3 linked regions of the Oryctolagus cuniculus genome follow. The protein of the gene in region 1 interacts with the protein of each later gene in a pairwise test. Links are inferred from orthologs where the notes say so. Each region holds a gene or a part of one and is shown in the gene's direction. Other genes may lie near its edges. The genes, in order: DDI1, KLHL42 and CYGB.

Evidence for each region.
Region 2: the proteins of DDI1 (region 1) and KLHL42 interact in binary tests that used the Homo sapiens proteins (3 or more experiments, as listed by UniProt). The two-hybrid records come from large-scale screens. The link is inferred for Oryctolagus cuniculus from reciprocal best matches to the Homo sapiens genes DDI1 and KLHL42.
Region 3: the proteins of DDI1 (region 1) and CYGB interact in binary tests that used the Homo sapiens proteins (3 or more experiments, as listed by UniProt). The two-hybrid records come from large-scale screens. The link is inferred for Oryctolagus cuniculus from reciprocal best matches to the Homo sapiens genes DDI1 and CYGB.

The regions. Positions count from the first base shown.
Region 1 is NC_091432.1:95,771,465-95,781,279, forward strand, and holds the start of DDI1 (protein DDI1 homolog 1), read left to right. Parts: upstream 1-5,035; 5' UTR 5,036-5,268; coding exon 5,269-6,471; 3' UTR 6,472-9,815. UniProt on the Homo sapiens protein: Probable aspartic protease. Seems to act as a proteasomal shuttle which links the proteasome and replication fork proteins like RTF2. Required, with DDI2, for cellular survival following replication stress.
Region 2 is NC_091440.1:124,896,298-124,906,276, forward strand, and holds the start of KLHL42 (kelch-like protein 42), read left to right. Parts: upstream 1-3,320; 5' UTR 3,321-3,401; coding exon 3,402-4,273; intron 4,274-9,979. UniProt on the Homo sapiens protein: Substrate-specific adapter of a BCR (BTB-CUL3-RBX1) E3 ubiquitin-protein ligase complex required for mitotic progression and cytokinesis. The BCR(KLHL42) E3 ubiquitin ligase complex mediates the ubiquitination and subsequent degradation of KATNA1.
Region 3 is NC_091448.1:4,249,989-4,259,750, forward strand, and holds the start of CYGB (cytoglobin), read left to right. Parts: upstream 1-3,139; 5' UTR 3,140-3,207; coding exon of another isoform or gene 3,208-3,278; intron 3,279-3,299; exon of another isoform or gene 3,300-3,353; 5' UTR 3,354-4,505; coding exon 4,506-4,642; intron 4,643-9,160; coding exon 9,161-9,392; intron 9,393-9,616; coding exon 9,617-9,762. UniProt on the Homo sapiens protein: Probable multifunctional globin with a hexacoordinated heme iron required for the catalysis of various reactions depending on redox condition of the cell as well as oxygen availability.

The DNA.
Region 1 (9,815 bases):
CTCTGCGTCTCAGTGCTAGTGTGTGTGTGTGTGTGTGTGTGTGTGTGTTCTGTCCACGTTCTCTTTTCTTATAGTAAAGAGAAACCACCAGTTGAGTTCCTGATAGATCAATCTGTAATAAATGTTGCAGTCTTATGACATTCTTAAATTCATATCTGTTTATTTATATATCTACCAGGTCTATCATAGGGTTTAACCATCAAGGATAGGTGATACTAATTTTTTTTCATTTCATACATTTTTATACACCAAACATGCTAATGAAAGCTGCAGGGGCCTGTGCTGTGGCTCACTGGGTTAATGTCCTGGCCTGAAGCGTTGGCATCCCATATGGGCGCCAGTTCTAGTCCCAGTTGCTCCTCTTCCGATCCAGCTCTCTGCTATGGCCTGGGAAAACAGTAGAGGATGGCCCAAGTCCTTGGACCCCTGCACCGAGTGGGAGACCGAGAAGAAGTTTCTGGCTCTGGCTTCAGATTGGCACAGCTCTGGCAGTTGCAGCCATCTGGGGAGTGAAACATCGGATGGAAGACCTCTCTCTCTCTCTCTCTCTCCTTCTCTCTCTCTGTTTCTCCCCTCTCTGTGTGACTCTGACTTTCAAATAAATAAATCTAAAAAAAAAGCAAGCTGCAACTGTCATTATAGTATTTTAAATGTATCCATTTAAGAATTGACTGTTTGAAGAAATGTATATTATTTTTAATGATTGTTGTGATACAAATTATTTTCTTTTATAAAGCAAATAAAAGAACAATGGGAAAATTAGTTGCTTAGTCAAAGGGTATAGCTTAAAAAATTCTGCATTTTTGCTAAATTGCATTGAAAATCTCAAGTGATAATTTAACTGTCTTGGTAAATTTCAATTACAGTTTATAAGTAATACCAGGCACACATTTAAATGAAGAAATCACAGCTTAGCAAACAAATATGTTTGCCTCAGATGGTTTAACTATTGTATACATTGCACAATGACATTTACAAAAAAGACATTTATTTAAGAGGAAGAATGACATAGAGGAGAGAGAAAGAGAGAGAGAGAGAATGAGAAAGCAAGATTGCAAAAACCTTCCATCTACTGGTTCACTCCCCACATGCCTTCAATAGCCAGTACCAGATCAGGCTGAAGCCAGGAGCCTGTAAATCCATTTGGGTCTCTATGTGTGTGGCAGGAACCAAAATACTTGGGCAATCACCTACTGCCTTCCAGGATTATTAGTAAGAATGCTGGATCAGAAGTGTGGAGAAACCATGACTCAAACCAGTCATTCTGATATGCAATATAGGCATCTCAAGCAGTGACTTAACCTACTGTGTCACTACACCTGCCCCATAATGACATTTAAATAAATACCCTTGGGCTGGTGCTGTGTTGCAGTAGGTTAATCCACCACCTGCAGTGCCAGCATCCCATATGGGTATCTGTTCTAGTACCAGCTGTTCCTCTTCTGATCCAGCTCTCTGCTATGGCCTAGGAGAGCAGTGGAAGATGGCCTAAGCACTTGAGCCCCTGCACCTGTGTGGGAGACCTGGAGGAAGATCCTGGCTCCTGGCTTCGGATCAGCTCAGCTCTGGCTGTTGTGGCTATTTGGGGAGTGAACCAGTGGCTGAAAAACCTTTCTGTCTCTACCTCTCACTGCCTCAAATAAATAAATAAAATCTAAAAAAATTAAATAAATAGTCTAGTGTTTTCACACACACACAAAAGTTTATTTTGTTTTGTAAAGCAATAGGTATTACTTTACAGCTCAACTGACTCTATATATACTGAGTGGAATTATCAATTACTTGGACTTCTTTTTTTTTTCTGTATTAAGTTTTTAGAAAGAGCCAAATTATAAAAGGTATTAAGCAGCTTTATTGGAAAAAACTTTAGAGTTATTTACTTGGTGAGTATGAAATCAGTGTCATCTTTTCTATTTTCTGGATATTTAGGCTATACAATGAGAATTGATTTTCTGAGTGATAGCCTTAGGACCTTGTAAAAATCTCACTTATCAACGAAAGATTAAATTACGTTCTGATATTGTACTTACCAAGGAAGAAACAGAATATAAAGAACTTTCCGAGAAAAGCTGCAATACCCTTCAGCTACCTATGTAATTCAGGTCCTCTATTTCTCAGCAGTCTGTGTGTTAGGCATTCATGAAATTACAAAATTTATGTTTAGTGGTATTTACATATACTCCCAGTTATCTTCAAGTTTATTAAGTTAGGAACAGAAGTTTTTAAGTTTAAATTTAGAGTTAAGAGAATCACACATATGGCATTGGAATCACCAACAGTGCCGAGTGAAAGGGAAGACCAACGCGTGAACAGAAGTATTAGCCCCAAGAGACTGCATTTATTTTTTTCAGATTCCAAGCTGTTTCACAACAGAGTTTTAAACAGTTTCTTGCATGGGTAGCTGGACTGCAGGATCCAAAGGATTCTTGTAAATGTTGACATCCTATATTCTACGAAATGACAGATTGGCCAGATCTTGGCCAGATCTTGAGGCTTTTGCTTTTCAGTATGTATTCCCAATAAAAGATAAAATAATAAAACCCATATAAATGCAAAGAGCCATCAAAAGTAAAGAATTATAGAAAGGCAATAAAACATACATGCAATATTTCATATGTTCAGTATCAAAGCAATGGTAAAATGGAAAAAAATGCTACTTTTTATTTTAACTTGAATCCTCAATGTTTGCTTTACCAACAGAAAACATGATAATACTTATTTAATAATAATTTCATTCATTAGTTAAGAAAAACAAAAACCGTACTATTATCTCCCTAACTTATTTTAGTTTTAAGAACAAACTGTCCAAAGCTACTTGGGAGGTGGGGTGGGGTAGGAATATTGAATCCAAGTCCTATTGGCTTCTCAGTCTGTTCTTTAGCAAAGTACTTTGCACGGATGTCTAATATCACTGTTATTTCCAAATTCATGAGAAACCACTATTAATTTCTGATGAGCTTCTAAGAAGGACAGAAGAAACTGACTTAATATTGTTGGGTCAAAGTACCGTTCCTCTACAGATATTGAAAAGTAATTCAGGCATATTCCTACAGGGAAATTAAGATGTTAGGCTTTTTTTTTTCCCTAATATTTTTAATAAAATCCTTCATATCATGAAACTCTGCTTTTCCAATTAAAGTCTCTAAGACAAGTCATTTTCTTTCTCAACCTTTGTTTCTTCATCCCAGCCCATCCACGCACGGCTGAGTCCTTATCATGCTTTTAAGTCCCCATTCATTCAGGAAGCCTTCCCTGCCCAGCCATCATCATCTTCATTTGTTCTCCAGATGGACTGATTTGCCCTGCACTCTGCAGATTTCTACTGTGCTACTGTTTTGTCCTCTCCCTCTCCCCCAGTTTTTCTGTGTGTGAACGTATCCTCTTCTACACTGCGAGCTTCCTTAAGAACGCAGCTTGTATTTAACACTGCTCGTGTTCCTATCCTTGTGAACACAGCTCATACTTCACATACACTGGACATTCAGTCAACATTTCTAATAGCAGAGCATATGACTTTGGAAATACTATGGTAATTAGAGCATTGAATGAGAATAGTCTTCCATCCAACAAAAACCAACACCTTTCTCTTTGTAACAATGTAGACTTTCCAGAAAATCTTGAGTGGAGGTTGCTACAAGCACAGAATGTTTAATATCTTTTAGTTCCTAAGTGTACAAATGGGAGAGAGATCTTCACAGTGCAAAATAGTATATGAAATATAGCAAAAATTAAATGGCACTCAAGAATTACTACTCAATCATCATTTTCTTGGAAAGACCTCTTAACCTTGACCCTGGAAGCCTCTACACTGGTATATATGTATGTGGGTGATGGTGGCTGTTGCTTAGAGTCAGAGAGAGGCATTACTGGCCCCAAGAGTAGCATTTGCCTTGAATTTTACTACTGAATGTCAAATTGGTTACCACAGAAGTTCACCCGAGTCATCCCTTCAGAGCAGTGGCCAATTTCTACCAGGTCTTCCCATTTTAGAGGCCCTCTGTTTTCCATACACTCTGCTGCTTCAACACTAGCCACACCCATGGGTAAACACATACTTCCATAGGTAAACACATCCTGTCCATTTTACTCAAGAAACACTTTATTCTCCACTGTTTGGCTTTAGTTCTCCCTTGGACTTTCAGATTCTAGCAACAGTTTACTCTTTGAACTACTGAAAAAAAAAAAAAAAAACATTCCTAAAAGTCTCTCCTGCCACCAAATGTTCTTCGCATGTTTCAGAAACCTTCTACCTTAAGTCAACTGGATGAAAAAATTGAGAATTCCTGCTTTAAATCATTTTCATTTCTTCTGCTCCTCTCCCCTTCTCTCTCTTCTTGTTCCACTTTCTCTCTTTGCCCAACCTTCTTCTTATAGGGGATTCCTGAATATTGAAAATATTTAGATGCCTTGGGTATACAGATGACTTTTCATAAATTGACTTGACAATTTTCTCTAGCTTCATAGGCTACCATCAAAAACTGTATACACATTTGCATTTCAATAATGGTCTCACTTTTTCTATAAATAAAATGACTTGTTGCCTTTGTCCAAGCAATTCCTTTTGTCTGGAGTAATTTTCATCACTTTTCACCTGGAAAATGTCATCCTTCAACATACAGACTGTGTCCTCTTCTGCTTAGAGAAAAATCCTTTGTTCTATTCATAGCACTATAGGTGCTATTCAAATAAACAATTCTTTGTAAATGTACTTACCTCTTGGGTTGTTATTTACCTTCTCCCCCATTCATCTGTTTCCAGAATGAAATCTTCAAGGGTAGGTAGCAAGTCTGATTTATGTTTCCTACTAAGCACGTAGCACGGTAGGAAACAAGCTCTCATTGTTTGGGGAATTAGTAAAAGTAAATAGAATACATTTCTAAGAAGAATAAAGTAAATTTTAATGTCATTTAAGAATAGATGAAGTTATATTCTTCAGATCCTATGTGAAATAGTCTATGAAGGGTTGGCCTTGGAACCTACTGTCTTTGAGGAACTTTGTCTCCATGGAAATAGGAGTTGACGTTCTAAACAGCACACATACCAAGGAACTTAAGAACTCAACATGTTCCCTTCAAGCTCCATCAGGCTCCACAGCAGGCGCTGAGGCTGGGAGACACCCCCAACCAGCAAGTGGCCAAGCCTCCCCTGGAGGTGAATAAGCAATACACCAGGTCACCAGGAGGAACCACACCAACAACAGAGACCAATCCTGTCAGTCAGCGAACCACCTGATGCTCTCTGCCCGCCTGGCCCTGCTGGGCCCATGCCATGCTCGTCACTGTGTACTGTGTGCGGAGGGACCTCTCCGAGGTAACCTTCTCCCTCCAGGTCAGCCCTGACTTTGAACTCCGTGACTTCCGAGTCCTGTGTGAGACAGAGTCCAGAATCCCTGCCGAAGAGACCCAGTTCATCTACATGGAGCACCTCCTCGCTGATGACCACTGTTCCCTGGGCTCCTACGGCCTCAAAGACGGTGATGTCATTGTATTACTCCAGAAGGAGAATGTGGGACCTAGGCTTCCAGGACGGACTCCAAACCAGCCTCGAACAGATTTCAATGGAATCGCCACGCCTGGGACATCAGGCTCTCGGTGGCAGCAGCAGCAACCCCCTGTGCAGCAACCGTGTGCGCCTTCTGCTCGTCATTCCCACGGCTTGGCCTCTGGAGAGAAGATGGCATCTGCTCAAGGTCTGGACAGCCCAGCCTTGATCCGTAGCATGCTGCTGTCCAATCCTCACGACCTGTCCCTGCTGAAGGAACGCAACCCTTCCTTGGCAGAAGCTCTGCTCAGCGGGAACCTTGAAACATTTTCTCAGGTCTTGATGGAGCAGCAGAGGGAGAGGGCCTTGCGAGAGCAAGAGAGGCTTCGTCTCTACTCCGCGGACCCATTTGATAGGGAAGCTCAGGCCAAAATAGAAGAAGAAATCCGGCAGCAGAACATTGAAGAAAACATGAATATAGCAATGGAAGAGGCCCCCGAGAGTTTTGGGCAAGTGGCAATGCTCTATATCAACTGCAAAGTGAATGGACATCCTTTGAAGGCTTTTGTTGACTCGGGTGCCCAGATGACCATTATGAGCCAAGCGTGTGCGGAGAGATGCAACATCATAAGACTGGTGGACCGACGATGGGCTGGAGTGGCTAAAGGAGTGGGCACACAAAGAATCATCGGCCGCGTTCATTTAGCTCAAATTCAGATTGAAGGAGACTTCCTGCAATGTTCTTTCTCTATACTTGAGGAGCAGCCCATGGACATGCTTCTTGGACTAGATATGCTGAAGAGGCATCAGTGTTCCATCGATTTGAAGAAAAATGTGCTGGTGATTGGCACCACTGGCACACAGACATCCTTTCTTCCTGAGGGAGAGTTACCCCCCTGTGCTAAGCTGGTAAGTGTTACCGGGCAAGAAGAGCCTTCAGACAAGGATACGGCAAACACCATTAAGCATTCACTCAAGGATTCAGGATGAAAGAAGCACTGAAGCAGGTTGGAAATGTGTCACCACCTTGAGGATGCTTCAGGTCCCAGAAATTATAAGACATGAGCTCACTGGCAATGTAATCATTAAAAACATCAGTAACAACTAAGCCTGGCCTTGGGACTATGATGGGGAACTTCATCTCAGATGGGTACTTACACAAATGCTCACTGCTTGGTCTTGGCCCCACTTTCCATTTCCCTTTTTCCCAGATCATTGACCCTCACCCTGGGAAGGCTCTGGGGGAAGCAGCTGGCTCCCTGACAATCCCTGAAAAGGAAAGCCAGCTTCTTCCTATCAGACACCCTTCTATCAGATTGCAGGTGGCTTATCCAAACCAACTGTTACTGTGCAAAAGTCCCTGGAAATAGCCATTGCTGCAGACCTTACAAAACATCAACAGAAAGTGATCTCACAACCCAAACATTTATACGGAGAGACATATATCTGTATTCATAGAGTTTGTTTTCTTTGGGAAAGGCATGATGGGTCAATGATACTTTTGAGTTGATTAAGACTTGCTAAGTATGTCTCAGACAGCAGAGGGGCCACTTAACTCGTGACCTACCACTTTCCTTCCCCTGGAGCCATGCTCAATGCCACCCATCCTTACAAGGTATTTTTGTCATATTTGAGAAAGCACATTTTCCTCCTACCATACTTAACATAGGTTTCTCTTTCCCCTGGATTCAAAGAAGCCCTAATTGTAAAACAAAGGTGATGAGTCAGCTTTCCTTTTTAAAGTTATGATATTTCTAGGGAGCTTAGCGGTTGCATGGTGGTAGGAATGTGGACACTGGGGACAAGTAGTGGTCTAGTTCCCCTAAAACTCATTTCAACAAGCTCATCTTTTTGTTTGTTTGTTTTACAAAGAAATCTGGTTTATTTAGAAAGCTTCTATTCCATAAATACTATTTGAACAAGGGGTTTCACTGTTAAAATATTATTTGGAAATACCTGAATGAGATGACATACGAGACACCATCGGGCTCTCTGATCCACCCTGACAAAGCTACTCTTCATTCACAGTGGGAAATGAGGAATCCTAAAATACCCGAGAGAAAGGGTGCAGCCACCTTTTGCCATCAGATTCAAGTAGAAAGGCTTCAGGACAATAATTCATCAAGACTCAGAAACAATGGTGGACTGAAAGTAAACAAGTGTGTTATAATCCTAGCCTTTTGTAATTAAGACAAATCAGTTGATCTATTTTACTACTCGTATGCACCATCTATAAATGGTTTTGGTTGGGGGAGCCACTTTTAAAGTGCTAAAACTATATTATGATACAGGATATTATTTGTTACTTTTTTTCTAATAATACCAAAAAACCACTTGAAGCATTCACTAAGGCTACTGAAAAGGAACATCCCTCTTTCCTTCCACCATCAGTCTACTCCCACCTTACAAGTATTCCCATGCTCAGTCTCCAATCTTCTGGACTCGATGTTAAAATCCATTTATGGAGAACACATTGATTTGCAAATACTACAAGGGACTCCTCAATGTCAAATGATGTTCACTGTCAATGAAAGTTTAGCTTGTAGTCTATCAGAATGTTTAGTCCAATAATGGCATCTAAAAATCAGAGAATGCTTAAGGCAGAAGACAGTTTACGTGATGTCAGATATGAGCACACTCACCATGTCTTCTCAGAGGAACATACGTCCCGAGGTGGCTATAATGTTTCAGAACAAATATCACGTATATATTTTCTTAGTTTGGGCTAAAATGCATTGTCATCTAACTTCTAATATTGTGACTGTCACTCTTCTCTCTGCTAATACATTTATTCTTTATTTCATGAGGAAATCCTTTTCTATATGAAATAAATATCATACTGGTCTTTTTGAAGGGTTTTTTAAAATTCTTTAAATGTTTCTCATATAACAAGCTTGGAACCTATTAAATTTCTGCTATGATCCTTTGGGCATATTCCAACTTGCAAAAATATTACATGAGTGAATGGATGGGTAAATTAAAAACATTTTTATTGAATTAAAAAACCATGACCTCAAAAATCAATGAACAAAGTGAATTAATTAAGCAATGCTTTATTAATTTTTTTAAAAATGTCTTTCAAATTGGAAAGTATTTTAAAAATTCATTTTATGGATTTAAAAATCTTGATGTAATCCTATATAAACTTTTGAAAGGGTCCTACTCAATTAAATTTTAAATGGTTATTTTCAGTAAAGGCAACATCTTTTGCTTGTCTTCTATGTAAGTCAGGTTTATAAAATACTTTACATATATTATTTCTGTGAATCCTCAGAATAAACCTTGAAAATAGTTATAATTAACCTCATTTTACAAATGGGTAATGTGATATTCAGAATTACAAATATTAAGTTATCTAAAATTTGATGTTCTTTTTTATAACAAATTGCATTTTACATTGTGATTCTGTCTCACACATATACACACACACACACACAGAGTGAGAAAGAGAGAGAGAGAGAAGGGGGGGGCATGTAAAAGGGTCTTCAAAATGTTCATAGAAAATGCAATCAATAAAAATTACACAGGAATTTCATTTTTTGCACCAAAACTTGTACTAAATTGTTATATTTGAACAGGACTTGTTCTGGGGCAGTAAGAAGGATAAGACGTCAATTTGAAAAAAGCCTCATCAGAGCAACAAGAATTGTGCTAAAACTGAAGCAAGAACAAACCATCAAATTTACGGTGAAGCTTTGGTAGAAGAAAGGTGGAATTGTCGTTGCTTTATACAAATTTTGCAGAGACAACGCTCCAAAGAAATCCACAGCTTACAAATTGATAAGCTGTCTTACAAGGGCTGAGATAATGTTAAAGATGACACCTGCAGCGGCAAACTAGCCGCATCAATTGGAGAGGAAAAAATTCATCTTATTCATGCCCTACTTAAAGGAAATCAACAATTATGAACACGGACAAAACGCAGCACCACAAACAGCTGAATCGGTTCAGTTTCCATAATTCTGTCTGAAGAATTAAAGTGGACCAAACTTTCTGTTCTATGTGTGCCAAAACTGAAGAGCTTCAATCAGATACAGAAATGTACAGAGCACTCAATGGCAATATCAAATGAATGGGATCAGGATCATGAAGCCCTGCTTCAAGGAGAGGGAAGAGAAGACAGAGCATGGCTTTACCAGTGCAGTCGTGGAGACAAATCACAATCAAAGCAACGTCTTCCAAGAGGAGCAGTGGTCTAGTCCAAGCAAAAAGGCACTGCTCAAAAGAAAAGGTCGAGGCCATAGGTTTCTGGGAAGCTCAAGGCGTTCTGCTCACTGACCTTCTGGCGACACAGAGAATGGAAACATCGGATTGAGAAGATGGTATTTTGAGAA
Region 2 (9,979 bases), on another chromosome or scaffold:
GACTGCGCTCGAATTGCCCTTCTAACGCACATCACTCACTCACTGTGAGTCACTGCTCCGCTTTACAAAGGTAAGAAAACACCGGTCAGGGGCTTATCTGTGACACTTGGGAAACAAAGGCATCCTTTGGCACAGTGTCTGCAGAGACAGAGGAGGGACTGAGGGCTGAGCCACTGAGTCTAGCGTTGTCGCTCACTGTAGCACAACACACTGCCAGGGCTGAGTGTCTTTGATGCAGGGGTGCCTCCCGGCAAACCCCCCTGGGGTAAGGCCTGGTGCTGGTGGGCAGGGTGGGCGGTGCATGTTCCCTTCCCAAAGAATCTGCTCCATCCAAGGTCACTCACTTCCCACCCCACACCTAGAATGTCTCCCTGCATCCTCCTGGGGAGTGGCGGTGTCACAGGTGGGTGTGGGGTGGGGTTCTGTGAGTGATGACTTCAAGGCCTGGTCAAACAGGGTGAACGGCTAGAAGTGTTCCAAGGGATCGCAGAAAAGAACTGAGCAGGGCAAATCACAGATCTGTTTTTGTCTCCTTTCTTGTTCCCAGGAAGGCAAGAACCTACCAGCATGATTTGTGTTGCTTAAATTTTAGTTCCTTATTCCTGGTGTATCATAAAGCAAAAAAGACACAACACCTCAGTATGAAGCAGTAAAATTACACAGTGAGAAGTAAAAATGTAACTACTCAGTGGAGTTCATATTTCATTGCCAAGACGTTGTTTTTTTTTTTTTTTTTTTTCCAGTGCTTCACTTTCTCCTTTTCCTAGCATAAAACATTCATCAGCATGATGGGGCTGTATCTCAGTTTGAAAGGGGGAGATGCACTTAGGAAGAAGTTACTATGTAACAACTCGCCATTCAAGAAGAAAGCTCAAGCCTGTAATTAAAAAACAGAAATCCAGATCCATACTCAGTTTACAAATCTTGGCCTGGAGAAGTTACATTTTGTTGCTATTGTTGGAAGGAAAGAAGGAGCAAACCCTCTGCCCGCCCCCCCCCCCCCCAAATCCTGGTCCCTTACCCTTCTCCTTGTCAGAAGACAAAAAGAGCAAGTTTAGTGCAAAGACCTCAATTTGGGGGGTAGGCACTGTGGTGCTGCTTGAGATGTCAGCATCTCACACTGGAGTTCTGGGTTCAAGTGTCACCGCGGCTTCCAGTCCAGCTCCCTGCTGATGCACACCCTGGGAGGCAGCAGGTGTTGACTCAAGTCCTTGGGCCCCAGCCACCCACTGGGAGACCCGGATGAAGTCCCCAGCTACTGGCTTCCAGCTGTCCCAGTGCCAGCTGTGTAACTCCCAGCATCTGGGGGAGTGAACAGTTGGTTTGAAGATCTTGCTCTTTCTCTTTGTGTAGCTCATTGAAAAAAAAAAAATTTTTTTTTTTTAATTTGAAGATCTCATTTGGCTTTCTGTGCTTCTGGAATCAGGCAACAGATCATTCCATAAAATGCAATGACTGTCTCCATGGTCCAAGTAGAAGAGGTTTGTAGCGGAAACAGACAAGGAGCCAGCATTTGAGGTTCCGTTCTTGACAACCTTTCTTGTAAAGGTTAAAGCACAGGCGGCTTTCCTACTAAGGCTGACTCCAGCCAGCCTGCCTGGATACTTGGTCACCATCTCTCTCTCTCCTGGGAGGTCAGCAAGCCACCTGGGGTGGGACCCACTTGGATTTGGCCTAGGGGGCGTGCAGCATGGCTGACTCCACTTTGGTCCATCCAGTGCAGGAGCTCGGTCCACACTAGTGGCCTCCTACAGATCTTACTGAACATATTGTCAAAGGGCAGATCTTAACTGGCTTTATTTTGGATCCTAGATTCAAGCAACACTTCATTCCAGAAAATAGAGTAACTGTTCCGGTGAGCCATGCAAAGCCTGCTTTTACAGAGAAGGGGTTGAAGAGAGCAGAAACAAAAGGATTAAGATGGGGCGTGTGTGTGTGGGTGGGTGGGTGGGGGCTTCGTGATCAACCAACTGCAACTGGCTGTTAGGGCCACCTGGTTGTGTGATGGAAGGGTCTCAGCCTGGTGAAGTGACCTTGAGCGTGAGTGACTCCATGACAGTGAGGAGTTTAGTCCAAACCAGCGGCCTTCTGTGATTTTTATTTAACGCTATTCAAAGGCACTGTCACCAGACTGTCCCTCTCCGAAGTCAGGAGCGCTGATGGTAGAGGTGAGTCTTCTAACAGCCACGTGCAGTGTTACAGTTGTCTGAATCCTAACGGAGGTGCTGGTGTCAACCCTAACAAAAATAAGGGAAGCTAGGGTTCTGACCGCTGCTGCTGGACAGTGACGACCCCAAGAGTCCGCTTGAACCACGCGGGCTTGCACAAAGGGCACTAACACAAAACGGACTTGTGCAAGGACCTCCGCGCGGTCACTGGCTGGCACCCCGTTCCTGGTCAAAGCGTCTTCTGGGAATCCTCGATTTTGCCCTTAAAAACCTCCCCTGGCTTTGCCCCCCTGGCGCCCGCCCGCAGCTCCCCGGGTGGCGCGCGGGGCTTCCCCTCGCCGTGGGATCCGCAGATCTGGCCTTGACTGTACCATCTTTGTGTTTGTCAGCAACCGAGAGGACGCGGAAAAGCACAGGGTTTTGCCTCCTAGTTCTTACGGGGGGGGGGGGGTAGGACAAGGAGGTGGTGGGAAAACCTGATTCTAAAACAGAGGGCACGTGGGCTGACTTCACGGACACGAGGGGGACCGCGGCTGTCCCTGAAGAGAGACGAGGACGCCGGACCCCAGACCACCTGGGCCGCCGGCCGGGCCCTTCTCCCACAAGATGGCTCCTGCTCGACGACCACACCGGACAGGTGGCTCCGGGCGCCTGGGCCTTGAGGGGGCGACCCCCCGGTTTGGCCCCCGGACCCGGAACTCTCTTCAGCCCTTCCTTGTCACGCTTGCTCCCCCTTCCTTCGCCCTGAGCGAGCGGCCGGCTCCGGGCTCCCCCGCGTCGGGCCGCCGGCGTCCCCGCAGCCCGGCCCCGGCCCGCACCTGCCCGCGCGCCCCCCACGCCGGGTCCAGCCGCGGCGCGGCCGGCGGGCGGAAGTGCGAGGGCCGGCGGGGGAGGAGGCTGCCGGCGGCCGGCTGCGGGCTGGGATTCCCTCCCCGCCTGACGCGGCGGCCGGGGGAGCCCGCGCGCGGCGGCCCGGCCTTTTTTGGTGCTGAGGGAGCCCCGCAGGCTGGGCCGCCCCCGGGGGTGGTGGTGGTGGTGCTGAGGAGCTCGGCCCGAGTCCCCGTCGCCGCCGTCGCCGCCGCCCGGGAGGAGGGGCTGCCCGGGAAGCCGGGCGCAGCCGCGGCCGCCCTCGCCCGCCCGCGCTCCGGGCCGCCCTGCCGTGGCGCGCCCCGCGCGGCCCCGGGCTTGCGCGCAGAGCTGGCGGGCAGCGGCCCCGCGCGCGGCGGCTCAGCCATGTCGGCCGAGGAGGTGGTGCAGATCCGCCTGGAGGGCCGCTGCTACCCGGTAAGCAAGAGGAAGCTCATCGAGCAGAGCGACTACTTCCGCGCCCTCTACCGCTCCGGCATGCGCGAGGCCCTGAGCCCGGAGGCCGGCGGCCCCGAGGTGCAGCAGCTGCGCGGCCTGAGCGCGCCGGGCCTGCGGCTCGTGCTCGACTTCATCAACGCCGGCGGCGCCCGCGAGGGCTGGCAGCTGGGCCCGCGCGGGGACAAGGGCGGCGCGGGCGATGGCGAGGAGGAGCTGGACGAAGCGAGCCTGCTCGCCGCGCTCGTGGAGGCGGCTTCCTTCCTGCAGGTCACGTCCCTGCTGCAGCTGCTGCTGTCCCAGGTGCGGCTCACCAACTGCCTGGAGCTGTACCGCCTGGCGCAGGTGTACGGCCTGCCCGACCTGCAGGACGCCTGCCTGCGCTTCATGGCCGTGCACTTCCACGAGGTGCTGTGCAAGCCCCAGTTCCACCTGCTGGGGTCGCCTCCCCCGGCTCCGGGGGACGTCAGCCTCAAGCAGAGGCTGAGGGAGGCCCGGATGACGGGGACCCCGGTCCTGGTGGCCCTGGGGGACTTCCTGGGCGGCCCCCTGGCGCCGCACCCCTACCAGGGGGAGCCGCCGTCCATGCTCAGGTACGAGGAGATGACTGAGCGCTGGTTCCCGCTGGCCAACAACCTGCCCCCGGACCTGGTCAACGTCAGGGGCTACGGCTCGGCCACTCTGGACAACTACCTCTTCATCGTGGGCGGCTACAGGATCACCAGCCAGGAGATCTCCGCTGCGCATTCCTACAACCCCAGCACCAACGAGTGGCTCCAGGTGGCTTCCATGAACCAGAAGAGGTAGGCGCCTGGCCCGGGGCTGCTGCTGGGCGTGCAGCTCCCTGGTCCACTCCTTCCGTCGTTGCTCCAGGGTTTGCTGGGCAGCCCCCTGGGGGTGTGCTGAGGGTGGGGGAGGGATGACACCCCCGGAGCCGGGCTGGCTCTGGCGTTGGCGGGGTTCCCAGCGAGCAGAGGCCCCGGGAGGATGAGGTCAGCCAGCGCGCCTGGGTGGCTGCCTTGCAGGTCTTGTGTTCTTAAGCAACACGATTTTCCTCCTGGTGGGAAAAACAATGTGGCTTCCTAGAAGGGCCTGTTTATTTAAAAAAGGCTGCTGTTTAAGTTTCATCTTTACAGATGTTTCCTTCTTTTTAGTTTTCAGGTTCTGATGGTGATTCTAAAGACACACTGGACAGTTACCTGTCATGCTGACTTGGGGTGCCTTTTTTTTTTTTTTAACCTGTCAGTGACTTTGAAGCTTTTCACCCTAGAGCACCAATATATGATCAGGACACAGTCCCTGGAAAGTGACCAGAATTTGCTGTGTAGGATTCTGTCTTAGTTTTTGTTCTCTCTTTTGCTTCTTCCTTCTCAGTGTCATTGACCCAAAGGGTGAGCCTGGCGGTAGTCACCTGTGGAATTGGAATCCAGCCACCCTAGCTGTACTCAGGGCGCTGGTTCTCGGACCCAGTCGGATACCAGTCCTGAAGCCTTCTATGAGATGGCAGTGTTTGACATAACCTCTGCGTGTCCTTTCCCCCGCCCCAAACATTTTATGTCTTCTCTAGATTGCCTGTAATGCCTGTGGTATGAATGCTGTGTACATGATAGTTGATTTATTTATTTATTTGAGAGGTAGCGTTACAGAGACGGAGAGGAAGAGACAGACAGAGGTCTTCCATCCACTGGTTCACTCCGCAAATGGATGTACCAGCTGGATCTGGGCCAACCTGAAGCCAGGAGCCACGAGCTTCTTCTGGGTCTCCCACAAGGGTACGGAGACCCACACCCTTGGGCCATCTTCCATTGGTTTCCCAGGCCATTAGCAGAGAGCTGGATTGGAAGTGGAGCAGCTGGGTTTTGAACTGGCGCCCAGTTGGGTCTTGAACCAGCACTCATATGGGATGCAGGTGCCACAAGTGGAGGCTTCACCCTGCTACACCACAGCGCTGACTGTATGCTGTATGTTTTAAGGGAACAAGAGAGAAATTCTGTACACCTTCTGTACACCCGTGATTTTTGGTTTGGGTGTTGTCTCCCCTCATTTGGCTCCATAGAGATGGAGGGCCGACTGTATTCCTATCACCCCTACCATCTCCCTACCAGGTCTACAAACTCCACAATGACTTGAAGAAAGGAAAAAAAAAAAAAAAAAGGCAACATGGGGCCTGCGGTGGGTGGGCAAGTAGTAGAGAAAGGGGCCAAGCTGAGAGCAGGTACAGGAAGAGGTGGTGGGGCGGGGGGAGGAAAGGAGAGAAGGAGGGAAGCAGCTTCCTTTTGCTATCGACATCTTTATACGTCTGCCTGGAAGCGTGGAGCAGGGACTGCAGGCCTCACAGTGTGGGGAGTCCTCGTCACAGGTGCTGGACTCGGGGATGGGTTCTGCCACACCGCAAAATTCGCTTTGCAAAGTATGCTGCTTTCCTGGTGACACAGAACAGCGGAGTCACTGGAAATAGGAGAGTGCAGAGAAACCCAGACTGTTGCTCCCGCCGCCTCCTAGAGGCAGTAACTGCAGAGCAGCACGTTTTCTTCCAGCCTCTTTTATTTTTAAATTTGTACTTTTTATTTGAAAGATAGAGCGAGAGTGTCAGTTCTCACCTCCTGGTTCACTCCCCCAGTACCCTAACAGCCAGAGCTTGGCCATGCTAAGCCAGGAGCCAGGTCTCCCATGTGGATGGCAGGGACCCAAGGACTTGAGCCATCACCTGCTGCCTCCCAGGGTGTGCGCTGGCAGGAAGCTGGGTCAGAAGCAGAGATGGGACTCGATCCTGGGCACTGCAACGTGGGACGTGGGCAGCTCAACCCACTGTGCCACAATGCCTGCCTCCAAAAGTTGTTTTTTCCTCTGTACAAATCCTTGGTAGTACTTTTTTAAAATACATTTTTATTTTTTTTCTTTTCTCTCTCTCTCTTTTTTTTTTTGAAAGGCAAAGAGGAAAATCTGCCACCTGCTGGTTCATTCCCCCAGTGCCTGCATCAGCCTGGACTGGGCCAGGCCAAAGCGAGGAGCTGGGAGTCCAGTGCAGGTCTCCCGCGTTGGTGGCAGGACCCGAGAACTTCAGCCATTACTTGCTGCCTCACAGGGTGCACGTTAGCAGGAAGCTGGAATCTGAAGCAGAGCCACTCGATATGGGACGTTTGCATCCCAGGAGGCGGCGTCTGCTGTCCCAAGCGCCCACCCTCCTTCATATTCTTTGCCTTTTTTTCCTGGGAATTGTCTTTCTATGCTTTTAAACAAGAAAATTGGAGCCACTGGCATACATACTTTTCAGGAAACTTGTCAATGACATGAAAAACGACAGAGTGAAAAATATGTGTATGGACATATTGAAATATTCTAAATATACAAACATCTATAAATTTATAATTGCATGGTTATGTAAAGATGTTGATAGCAAAAGGAAGAATATATAGGAGTACTCAGTGCGCAGAGGGGTAACACCTTGCAGGTGCCATCAGGGGGTGCGCTTTGTTGTGGCACTTGGTGTTTCTGCTTAGCAGTCTACTTTTTTTTTTTTTTTAAAGATTTATTTATTTGGTAGTCAGGGGTGGGATGTCTTCCATCCTCTGGTTCACGCCCCAACTGACCACAATGGCCGGAGCTGGGCCAATCAGAAGCCAGGAGCCAGGAGCTTCTTCTGGGTCTCCTACATGGGTGCAGGGGGCCCAAGGAGTTGAGCCATCTTCTGCTGCTTTCCCAGGCTATAGCAGAGAGCCAGATTGGAAGCGGGACAGCTGGGATTCAACTGGTACCCATATGGGATGCCGGCACTGCAGGCGATGGCTTTACCTGCTGTGCCACAGCGCCGGCCCCTTAGCGGCGGGCTTTACTGAGTTGCTTTCCATGTCAGCAGATGCAGGCCTCTCTCCCTGCTAATGCACTGAAGCCTTGAGAAGGTTCCCTAATGTGATCAGCCCTTCCCTTGTTCATGAACCTCAGGTTGCTTCTGTGTGCCATTATAAACAGCGTTACATTGAGCACCCCTTAGGGGTGTATATTCGGCTTAAGTGAGTTAATTCCAGATGTCACATTCCTGGCATCCCTGGGCAGGTGGGGTAAAGTGTATGCACATTTGACATTTGGGTGCCTCCTGCCAAATTACCCATCCAGAAATTCTTCTGATTTTCTCTCTACCAATGGTGTTTGACCTGCCAGTTCCCTGTACGCTTTCCAAGACCAGATATTATCATGTGCACCCCCACCCCAGTCTGATGGACAGAAGCACTGGTGGGATTTTTCCCTGGTTAGAAGGGAGATTGTTCTTTTCCTATCTTTATTGGCCATTTGTATTTCTTTCCTGAATGCTTTTTGCCAGGTTTTCCAAACTTGGCTTATATTTTTCTTGTTTGAGTAGTTCCATGTACGTTTACGGATCTCTTTTGTCAGGTAGTGTTGTACAGTTATTTTGTATTGGAGAACTGCTGCCCCATAGTGCCTTCTCAGCTACAGTAATTCCCAGGTGGAAGTCAGAACTTGGTGTTCCCAACTGAATACCCCAATTTATTTTTAAGAGTTATACATTTATTTGAAAGGCAAAGTGATAGGGAGAGAGACAGATTCCCCCATCTGCTGGTTCATTCTCCTACAGAACACGACGGGTGTGGGGGACAGGGGACAGGCTGAAGCCAGGAGCCTAGAACTCCATCCAGGTCATGCATATGGATGGCAGAGGCCTAAGCATTTGGACACCTTCTGCTGCTTTCCTAGGCACTTTTTTTTTTTTTTTAAGATGTATGTATTTATTTGAAAGGCAGATTTACAGAGAGTGAGGGAGAGACAGAGAGAGAGAGGTCTTCCATCTATTGGTGCACTCCGCCAGTGGCTGCAGTGATCGGAGCTGGGCCAATCTGAAGCCAGGAGCTAGGAGCTTCTTCGGGTGTCCCATGTGGGTGCAGGGGGCCAAGAAGTTGGGCCATTTTCTGCTGCTTTCCCAGGTGCATCATCAGGGAGCTGACTCAGAAGTGGAGCAGCTAGGACTTAAACTGATGCTGTAATTTGGGATGCCAGCGTTTCAATCTTTGACTTAAACTGCTGTGCTGCAATGCCTGCCCTAATTATCCTTATTTTAAAATGTTGGCAACTCATTCCACTTGAAAAACAAGCAGGGGAGGTATCAGGCTAGTAGGTAAGCTGCCAGTTAGACTGCGTATGTCTCACATCAGAGTGCCCATGTTGAAGTCCCAGCTGTGCTTCGGATTCCAGCTTCCTGCTCATGCCGGTCCTCAGAGGCAGCAGAGGTGGCTCCAGTTGGGCCAGGTCCCTGCTGTCTGCATGGAAGGCCTGGGTTGAGTTCCTGGCTTGCAGCTTTGACTTCAGTCCTGGCCCCAGTCCAGTCCTGGCTACTGCAGGCATTTGGGGAGTGAACCAGAGGATAGGAGGTGTCTGTGTCTGTGTCTCTCTCCCTCTCAAATAGATTAAAAGCAAACAAGTCATCAGCATCCACAGGAACTTTGCAAAGCAAACAAAATGCAGCCAGCACCAGCCTTGTGAGCCTCCCGGTATAGGTTTCGGGTTTGTGGTCTATTCCCGGGTGAAGGAAGCCGACCTTTCTCATAGATTTGTCACGTTTGGCAGGTTTTGTGTCTTGCACAGGAGAGGCTCCTGCAAGCCAGGATTATAAAATACCCTGTATCGCGTTCTGCCTGCTTTACCTGTAGATCTGCATCTCCCTCGCATTTACTTTCATGTAATTGGTAACGAAAGGCCACAGCATCTTTTTGTCTTAGATGTGTCCTCAGCCCCTGATCCTCCTCGCCGTGACTTGCAGCATCAGCTCTCACAGGCTCGCTTTCCTGCTTCCAAGCTGGCAGGCTCACTGCTGTGGCATCAGGGACATGTTTTCAGGTTGTGGAAGCCTTGCAACGTACTTGATTGTCTGGGAGAACTGAGGCCACTTTGTTTTAATTCTGTTGGCTGTTTGCTTCTTTAGATCAACTTTAGAGTCAGTTTGTCCTGTTGCGTTGGGGTTTTGGTGGAGAGCACATCATGATGGCAGGTTAATTTAGAGAAGGAGTTTCAGTGTCTTAATACCGTGCCTCACCCCCCACTCCACAGTTTCAGTTATCTTTCTTTCTTCATGTAGTCAGTAAGTTTTTTGTTAGGGTTATTCTTAGGTATTTTGTAGTTGTTTTTTGCCCTAAGATACTTTTTTTTTTTTAAAAGACATTTATTTATTTGAAAGGCAGAGTTACAGAGAGGCAGAGGCAGAGGGAGGGAGGGAGGGAGGTGGGAGAGAGAGAGAGAGAGAGAGAGAGAGAGAGAGAGACGGAGATGTCTTCCATCTGTTGGTTCACTCCCCAGTTGGCTGCAACAGCCTGAACTGAGCTGATTCGAAGCCAGAAGCCAGGAGCTTCTTCTGCATCTCCCACGCGGGTGCAGGGGCCCAAGCACTTGGGCCATCTTCCACTGCTTTCCCAGGCTGCAATGGCTGGAACTGTGCCAATCCAAAGCCAGGAGCTTTTTCAGGGTCTCCCACGTGGGTGCAGGGCCCCAAGGACTTGGGCCAT
Region 3 (9,762 bases), on another chromosome or scaffold:
GGCTCCCGGCCCTGCCCTACCTGCCTGAGCCAGCTGATCCTGGTCTTGAGGAGGCGAGAATTCACTTCAGAGGCTCTTTCTCCCTAAACGGAGGAGAGCAGAGTCAGAGGCCTGACCGGACCACTCCCCACGCTTCTGTCTTTCGTCTTCCACCCCTACCCCCGGCGATCCGCCCCAACGCCGCGGGGCAGGCGCACCTAAGAAGCCCACTGGAATTTGTGACCCTGGCACTAGAGAGCAGAAATCACACCCCAGCCACACCCCCCACCAGCCCGTGATTCCCCGACGTCAGACCGATTTTTCCAGTTAACTGGGTCCCAAGGAGTTAATAGGTAACTGCTTCCTTCTGGCTAAATCACGCCAGACCAGGCCCGGCCAGATGGTCCCCAGATCTGGCCTTTCCTCTCCTGCCGGGAGGTCTGGGCCGGGTCCACGTGGAAGTCGGCGGCCGGATGGCGTCCGGTGAGCCACAAATTAGAGTGATCTTAAGCAAAGTCGCTCACAGCCCCCGGACCCCCAGTTTCCCGACCCAGTAACAGGAAACGGACACACACACGGGTCCCGCCAGCCCTCCAAGGCTACTGCGACCTCCAAGTGAGTTCATGTCCGAGCCACGTCAGGCAACAAGAACGCACTGATCAGGCATAAAATCACGAGAATCACCCACGCTGGCCGGGCAGCAGCTCCCAACCCTCGTGCTAACCTCTTATTAACCCGCGTTTACGTGGAAACAGCCTGGCCGCATCATCGGTCCAAAGTGTCCCAGACAGCAGAGGGGAGCCAGGATGGAGACCCAAACTCACAGCGAGGACCAGTGGGCAGGGTCAGCCTGACTCATGTCAGCCAGGCACTATGAGGGTGACCCCAGCCCTCCTGCAGGTCGAGGGACAGTGGCACAGAGACACATGCTTCCCGAAGTTGCCCGGGGCTGCCCTTGGGACGATCAGAACCTGGGAGGCTCCCAGGACGCTCACAGCGACAAGGAGGCATTTCAAGGGGGACACAGCGGGGCTGGGGGCGGGCAGGTTCCCCAGCCAGGAAGAGACTCGGAGCACGGCTGGCAGGCCTGCTGCCGGTGCCCTGTGTGGACACACAAGCCAGAGGCCCTGGAGCCGCCTAAGGATCTCTGCTTCTCAGCCTGTCACTGGGAGTGGGGGGGGGGGGTCTCAGACACGTCCCACCCACCCCCCCCCCCCGCGTGGGTCTTCAGGCACAGAAAGAGCGCGTCGCCCGCAGGTACTTGATGCAAATTTGCTGATTTTCTTTTCAGTGTTGGGAACCTCGGTCATGCATGGACGCTGGGAAGCGGCCCAGGGAAGGGAAAAGCAGGAAGTTCCCATAACTTCGCTCCCTTAAGGGCCAGATGGCCGCAGCCCAGGCAGGAGTTAACTTTCCGGCCACTGGAGACAGCGTCCTGCCCGCAGGGGCGGCCCAGCCAATGGCACGCGGCGCTGATGATGTCATGCTCCTCCCGCGCCTGCTATTGGGCACCAGGCGGCGAATCCAGCCGGCGGCTCGGGCCGCGGGGCCGCGGAGGCGGGGGCCGGGCGGCGGAGGGGGAGGGCAGGGCCGGGAGCGGCGGGCGCAGCGGTGCAGGGCGGCTGCGGCCTCCTCCCTCGCCCGCTCCCCTGCGCCTTCCCACGGAGGGCGCCCCGGGGACCGCCTCGCACTCGGGCCAGCGGGCAGCGACGTCTAGGGCCGCACGAGGCGGATGGGGGCTTCCATCCCCAGCTGGAGAGAGCAGACCCCTGGCCTGCTGGCCAGGCACACAGGGGTGACCGGGGAGTAGCCAGGCAGGCACAAGGGCGCGCGCACACACACACCCAGCAGACTCTCCAGCCTCACCTGCCTGTCGACTGCAGGTCTGTGTCGGAGCTCTTGGTAACTGCCCCGTCCACGTCGCTGGGCTCTCTGTGGGAGAGAAGGGCTGTGGGCGGTGCCCAGGCCCCCTGCCCCGCTGCTCCCCACGACCTGGCCACGCTGGACTCCGGGCAGGAGGCTGCAGCCCAGTGCCTTTGAGGTTTTACGGTCCCCCCTTTCAGAGCCTCCTAGGTCTCCTGCCTCCTTGCCTGGGGGTCCAGGCAGTCCAGCCCTCCTCCCACTTGGCTGGCGCCCAGCCCAATCACCCCCCCCACCCCACCCCCTGCCCGGAGCCCAGGCGGTTTCTCACGGTTGGACCCGGTTGGCAAACCGGCGGCGCCAGAGCATGGCCAAGGTGCTGAGCACAAAGAGGGTGGTGCACATGGCTCCGCTGCCCCATCCCCTCCCAGGCGGAGGCCACGATGGCCTGGCCAGCTGTCTTGAGGCTCTGGTTGGGATGGATTTAGGAGGCACAAGCTGATTAGTGGGATCAGCAGCTCTGACCTTGTGAGGGCTGATTAAGCTGGCCGGGCCCAAGGTCTCCCTCGAGTGGCAGGATAAATGGACACGGGCACTACCCAGAGTGCAGATCTGAGAGCACGCGGGCCTTGAGGCCAGCGTTGTGGCACAGCAGCCCATGCTGCAGCACCGGTTCGAGTCCCAGCTGCTCCACTTCCAATCCAGCTCCCTGCTAATGCGCCTGGGAAAGCAGTGGAGGATGGCCCAGGGGCTTAGGGCCCTGCACCCCATGAGGGAGAACTGGTTGGAGTTCCTGCCTCGCAGTTTCAGCCTGGCCCAGTCCCGGCCATTGTGGCCATTTGGGGAGTGAACCAGCAGATGGAAGACCTCTCTCTCTCTCTGTCTCTCTAGGACTCTAGCCTATCAAATAAATAAATCCTTTAAAAAAAATCTTTAGGTCTTGCCGTCAAGGGGCTGACACTCCAGACAGGTTAATGCCGCAACAGACTGGTTTGGGAGCTATTAAAGGCACCTGCTGAACACCTGGGAAGCTTCGCGTCTCGGGATGACTTCCAAGAAGAGCCGGGGACGACTGACTTTGCAGGTGCCCAAGGAAGACCAGGCCCTCACAGCTCTGCCGGGGCTGTGGCAGCTGCCGGGAACCGGAGCTGAGCGGCCGGGAGAAGGATGCCACAGCGAGGGCAGCCGCAGAGCAGGATGAGGGAAGCCAGCAAGGCGAACCCCGAGGGAGGCTGCTCTGTCTCATCCTCTCCGGCACCCACTTCAGGACCAGGGCGGAAATCAGCCTGCGCTCACAGATGCGGTACTGGGTGCCGACTCGTCCCCACACCGCGCACAGGACACACGCAAAGGATGAGCTGAAACCCCATGGAAAAGGGGAGCCCAGCCACATCCCAGGGGCACCTCTCGGGCAGCCGCGTGGGACGCCATCGGCGCAGGTGAGTGTGTGTGGAGCCTGGCGGCAGAGTGGGATGAGAGGACCCGAGCCCACACGGTCTCCTTCCCTGGTCCAGGAACCCAGCGGTCATTAGATGGAGCACTTGGACCTTGAGTTCCTGGAAGAGCCCAGGCTTGACCTTGAAACAAGATTGTTAAAATAAATACAGGAACCCAAGTGGAGGAGGACACGGCCGGCTGGGCGGCGGGACGCCAGGCCTGGAGCAGGCCAGGGTCACCCCACACGTGCTGGAACACCTGCTGTGGGGCCTGGCCATCCCCAGGAAGTCTGTGGAAGTCTGTCCCCTCCTCCCCCAGCCCTGCAGCTGGTGGTGGCTGGGCCGTCTCCAATGACCTGGGCCTTCCTCTGGGCTTCTGGACACCCAGGGCCCTGAGGTCAGGGTGGTGCCCAGATCTCCCCAGCCTGTGCTGGCCGGAAGGAAAGGGGGTGCAGGCCTGGGCACCCTTGGCGGCTGAGCTCAGGTTCCGACGACCCCGGGCGTGGCAGGCGCGCGGGGAGACGACCCTAGCCTTCACCCCTCCTGGGCCTGGGGTCCTGCGCACTGGAAGTGGCCAGGGTCCGCAGCGGGCGCCAGAGGGGCTGGCATGACCTCCTGGCAGGGATGGCGGGAGAGAGCCCCCGCCGATGCCTGGGAGGAATCGACTTCGAGTCCAGTCCCCACCACGCAAAGGGTGCACACAGCACACACGCCCGGCTGCGCCCGCGGCGAGAGCGGGACACGGCGGTCCCGGACCCGCACCCGCGGTGCGCACTCCTGGGCAGCCGGCGCCGCGTGACCGCCGCGCCCCGGGAGACCCCCAGCACGCCGGCCACACCTACCCCGGCGTCGCCCAGAGGTCGACCCCACCGCGGCCTGGCGGGTGGGGCGGGCGAGTGCCCGCCGCCTCGCCCCCACCCCGCCCAGCCTTCACCTTGCCGGAACTGGCTCGCCGACGCGGGGTAGGGGTTTGAAACGTATTTATTTTTTTTTAAACATTTTCCCAGCAGACCACATCCCCGCCCCCCGCCGGCGGGCCCCCGCCCCCCGCACTCACACACACACATTCGCGCGCACACCCGGCGCGCACAGACACACGCGCTCCCTCCCTCCGGCGCTCTGCCCCTCGCCCGCCCGCCCGCCCGCCCGCCGCGCACGCAGCCGGCCCCGGCTCCCCGCGCCCCGCCGCCGCCGCCGCCGAGCGAAGCCGGGCTGGGCTTGCAGCTGCTCATGGAGAAAGTGCCCGGCGAGATGGAGCGCCGGGAGCGGAGCGAGGAGCTGTCCGAGGCGGAGAGGAAGGCGGTGCAGGCGACCTGGGCCCGGCTGTATGCCAACTGCGAGGACGTGGGGGTGGCCATCCTGGTGAGGTAGGTGTCACCCCGGCCGGCCGGGCCCTGTGCAGGGAGGGCGGTCGCGGCCCGGGGGCGAGCTCCGGCGTCACCTCCCCAGCCGCGACTGGGGCCAGGCCGTTCAGAGCGCGGGCAGCGTGGGGCGCAGCCTTGGATGAGCCCTTGCTGGCTCCGGGGTAGGGCTCCCAGCCACTGGGGTGCAGGAGGAGGGCCCCTCGGATCCCGCCTCTCCCCAGCCTCGGAACTCCTGGCTCAGACTCTGAGCCGGTTGCCTTCCTGGCCACCGCCACCACCTCCCCCACGAGCTGTGAGGCCCACACACATTTTTCTGGGGCAGTAGGGGATCCCCATTTTAGAGACAGGAAAACTGAGGTGCAACCGAAGAGGAGGACACAGAGGGGCAGAGTTCTCTCAGCTCAACCCTCTGGAAGGAGCAGAGCAGAGGGCGAGAGAGTGGAGGCCAGGGGGACCTGGCTCTCCCCGCTGTCCAAAGGGAGGGCCGGCCAGCCGTGCGCTCCAGGTGAGGCACAGGTAAGTGGAGCAGCAAGCCATCCTCCAGGACACATCCCCCGCTGAGTTGGAGAGGGGCCCCGCCCTGAAGCCCCCACCTGGGTTCTGGGGTCATTCCGGCTCCAGGTGTCCCCGACAGACCCACGGACACAACACCTGTGCAGGGTGCACGGGCAGCATCCCTGTAGAGCGCCTGTTCCCAAGCCCCACAAGCCACTAACTGACCATGGTGACCACCGATGCTTTCTTCCCACGCCTGCTGGTCCCTGGGGTGCGGGCCTCGAGGCGCCAGGCCACCGGCGCTCTAAGCCCCCTGTCCGTGGCAGAGGGGAGCTGTCAGACAGAGGACGGAGCGGGCAGGCTTGCTGCACGAAGAGGGGACGAAACTGGCATCTGTCAGGACAGCTCCATGCCCACCTGGCGCCCTGTCCCGGCCCCGTCTCTGGCTCCTCTTCTCCCCATCACGCTCTCCCCCCACACCTGGGACCTACCCCGCAGCACGCCGATCTGCCCTGATTCCACTTCCGATGAGTTAAGGAAGGGGCGTCTGTGCCAGCTGCTTCCGGGCCCAGAGACAGCGGTGGGGGGGGGGTGAGAGGGGCCAGGATCCTGAAGCCACAGACTCCAAGCGGGAGCAGAGCCACAGATGCGCCAGAGTTGGCAGCCCCGAGGGGCCCCCGCAGCCGTGGGTCTGGCACACACGGAAGTCACCGAGGGGAAATGAGGCAGGGTTCCCAGACCCCCGGGGAATTTCTGTCCCTGGGCCCTGCCATGTGCCGCCGAGGCGCCTGGCCTCGGAGGGGTGCAGAGGAGCCGAACCCATGAGCTCTGTTTGGGATGGTCTGGGCTCCTGGGAGGTTTTGTTTCTCTCTCTCTCTCTCTCTCTCTCTCTCTCTGCACCCACTCCTGGTTCCCTGTTCTGACTCCTGGATGGGCTGGGCCCGGGCTGGGAGAGGCATTACCCAAAGCACTCTGTGTTCAGAGAAAGGCCCACCGTTCATCTGCGAAGGCTCGGCTGGGGCCGCTGCTCACTCCTTCATGTCCACCGGAGCCCGGGGCAGCCACTCCCCGCCAGCCCCATGCCCCAGGCCTGGCCAGCGACGGAGGGATAGAAAGGGGTTAGGGCAGGAGCCGTCCTCAGGGTCCCCAGAACCTGTCGCAACTCCCCCCCTTTCCCACACCCGACACACATCCACAAGACCAGCTCTCTGCCCCTCACTCATCCCCACCAGGCCGGTGGGGTGAGGCCCCCCCTGGCGGCCACATGGGTGGTGGTGGAAGAGGCCTGGGGGGAGGAACGCCCACCCTCCCTCCTGGTTGTAACTCGGCCGCCTTCCCCCCCACGCTCAGACAAGCCTATTTCAGGCTCTCTTGGAAGCCCAGATGCCTCCAGGAAGGGAGAAAGTCCCCAGGAATGGCCGGGGAGGCTGGGATCAAGAGGGCCCAGACGCCCGGGGACTGTCCTCAGGGCCACACCCTGGCCTGAGTGTAAAGCAGGCGACGGCCCCAGGCACGGTCCCCTGACCAGCAGCCTATGCAGGTGGCAGGGCCCCTCCTGGGCTCCTTCCCGTCCCCAGGATGGCGATAACAGCGGGGCAGGGATGAGGGAGCTGTGTATACAACAAGTGCTCAAGAAACTTTGCCTGTGGCTTGCTCATCTATAAAATGGGTAGAATCCCCACTCGCTCCGTTTGAGATGCTTGGCACCTTGTCGCGTGCAAGGCAAAGCGAAAGAGCATTTTGTAAATTTTAAATTGCAATTCCAAAAAGCCCCAGAGGCTGAGGCGGTCAGCGACATCCACATTGGGGTTTTTCAGGCTGGTCTCTCATCGCTGCAAAGCTGGCAAACCCACCGCCTCCCTCATCCTCACCCGGGTCCCATGAGGCGTGGGACTCAGAGCTGGGAAACGGTTTGGTCTCCGTCTGAACTCCCCCCACCCACAGCCCACAAGGATACAGCAGCTCTGTTGCCAGAAGGGGTGGCCCGGCCGGAAGTTCTCAGCCCCCACCCCCCACCCCCGCTTCTGCAGCCCATCTCTGGCTAAGGGGCCGCTTTGGCAAAGGATCGGCGAGGGGGACGCCGCCCGGCGTGAAGCCGCCCGGCACACAGGCCCCAGACAGCCTGGCTGTTTTCCGAGGGTTCCGTTAAGTTATGTAAGTTCCGACGGAGCCCGTGCATGTGTCTCACGTGACAGCCCCGCTTGGGAAAGGAGGTGTGGATTGTCCGCACGCTCGCCAGCCGCAGGGCCCGGGCGGAGGGTGCCGGAGATCCAGCCCGACAGACGGAAGTTAGCCGGGAGGGCCTGGAGGGGACAGCCTGGGCTAGCCGGGAAGGAGACGCAGCCCGCGGAGGGCTGGTGAGGGGAGCTGTTGGCTGGAACCGAGGTGTGCTGGGGGGAGAGCGTTCCCACATTTGTAAGAGGCTGCCTTGCCCTGTTAAGGAGTTTTGACTTTGTCCAGTAGACAGTAGGGAGCCATTGAAGGTTTCTGAGGATGGGAGTGGCCCAAGGAAAGCTGCCTTGGGGGGGGTGGAATCGGATCATTTCGGGTAAGCTGGAGTGTGGAGGCGCCAGGGGCCAGGAGGGCCTGGGGTCTGCAAGGAGCGGGCGTGCCGGGGAGGTGAGACGCACGCATGTACAGGCACACGCGCACACACACGACGTAATGCCGGACCCACGCCAGGCAGGCCAATCCAAGGGCCGTTTCTAATTAAATAAAATGACCAACGATCACTGCAGGGAAGTGGAGAGAGGAGAAGGAAGACAGTGTCCTCGCCCCTGCCGGGCAGCCTGAACCGACTTCCACACCAGGCTCTGCTTGGTTCAGCTGCAACCAAAACCGTGTCTCGTGTCAGCACCGGGCACGAGGCGGGTGGTTTCTCATTTCAGCCTCACGACAACCCAGGAGACAGAATGACCGTGCCCATTTTATAGATGAGGATACTGAGGCTCAGAAACGTTAAACCCCTCGCCCTGAATCACACTGGCTGGTGACTCCGGAGCCGTCTCGGCTGGGGGCTTGAGGAGCGGGTAGACTTTGGACGGGAGAAGAGAGCGAATGGGTGCAGACGCCTGGGACAGGAACTCCTGCCGACCTGGGCGGGACCTGCATGGAGGCAGATGCGAGCCAGCCCACATCTCGGCCCATGGCTCCTGCCTGCTCCTCGGCCTGTGGCTCCTGCCCACTCCTCGGCCCGTGGCTCCTGCCCACTCCTCGGCCCGGGGCTCCTGCCAATACCTTGGGCCTGTGGCTCTTGCCCACTCCTCGGCCCATGGCTCCTGCCAATACCTTGGGCCCGTGGCTCCTGCCCACACCTCGGCCCGGGGCTCCTGCCCACTCCTCGGCCCGTGGCTCCTGCCCACACCTCGGCCCGGGGCTCCTGCCCACTCCTCGGCCCACGGCTCCTGCCCACTCCTCGGCCCATGGCTCCTGCCCACTCCTCGGCCCACGGCTCCTGCCCACACCTCGGCCCGGGGCTCCTGCCCACTCCTCGGCCCGTGGCTTCGGCCCACGGCTCCTGCCCACACCTCGGCCCGTGGCTCCTTGCCCACACCTCGGCCCGTGGCGCCAGCCCACACCTCAGCCTGTGGCGCCAGCCCACACCTCGGCCCGTGGCTCCTGCCCATACCTCGGCCTGTGGCTCCTGCCCACACCTCGGCCCGTGGCTCCTGCCCACTCCTTGGCCCGTGGCTCCTGCCCACACCTCGGCCCGTGGCACCAGCCCACACCTTGGGCCCGCGGCTCCTGCCCACACCTCGGCCCGTGGCTCCTGCCCACTCCTCGGACCGTGGCTCCTGCCCACTCCTGGGCCTGTGGCTCCTTGCCCACACCTCGGCCCGTGGCGCCAGCCCACACCTCAGCCTGTGGCGCCAGCCCACAACTCAGCCTGTGGCTCCTGCCAATACCTCGGGCCCGTGGCACCAGCCCACACCTCGGGCCCGTGGCTCCTGCCCACTCCTCGGCCCACGGCTCCTGTCCTCCTGCTCTGGCAGCCCGGCTTCAGCGCCGGCCCCTCCGTCCCACCAGGTTCTTCGTGAACTTCCCTTCAGCCAAGCAGTACTTCAGCCAGTTCAAGCACATGGAGGAGCCGCTGGAGATGGAGCGGAGCCCCCAGCTGCGGAAGCACGCCTGCCGGGTCATGGGGGCCCTCAACACGGTGGTGGAGAACCTGCATGACCCCGACAAGGTGTCCTCCGTGCTGGCACTCGTGGGCAAAGCCCACGCCCTCAAGCACAAGGTGGAGCCCGTGTACTTTAAGGTAGGCGTGCCCCAGCTGCCCGCAGGCTCTGCAGGGGGGGGGGGCTCCCTGGGGCGCAGCAGGGGACCCCGGCCCCAGCCTCTGGGGTGCAGGGAGGGGAGCAGTGCCGGCCCTGCCTCGGGGGCCTGCCATCTGGTTCCTGGTGGCCAGATCCTTGGCCAGCCGGGGCCTGGGGGCCGCAGGGCGCCCCACTGCTCACACCCCCTTCCTCCCTTTGCCGCCAGATCCTCTCTGGGGTCATCCTGGAGGTGATCGCCGAGGAGTTTGCCAACGACTTCCCACCTGAGACGCAGAGAGCCTGGGCCAAGCTGCGTGGCCTCATCTACAGTCACGTGACCGCTGCCTACAAGGAGGCAGGCTGGGTACAGCA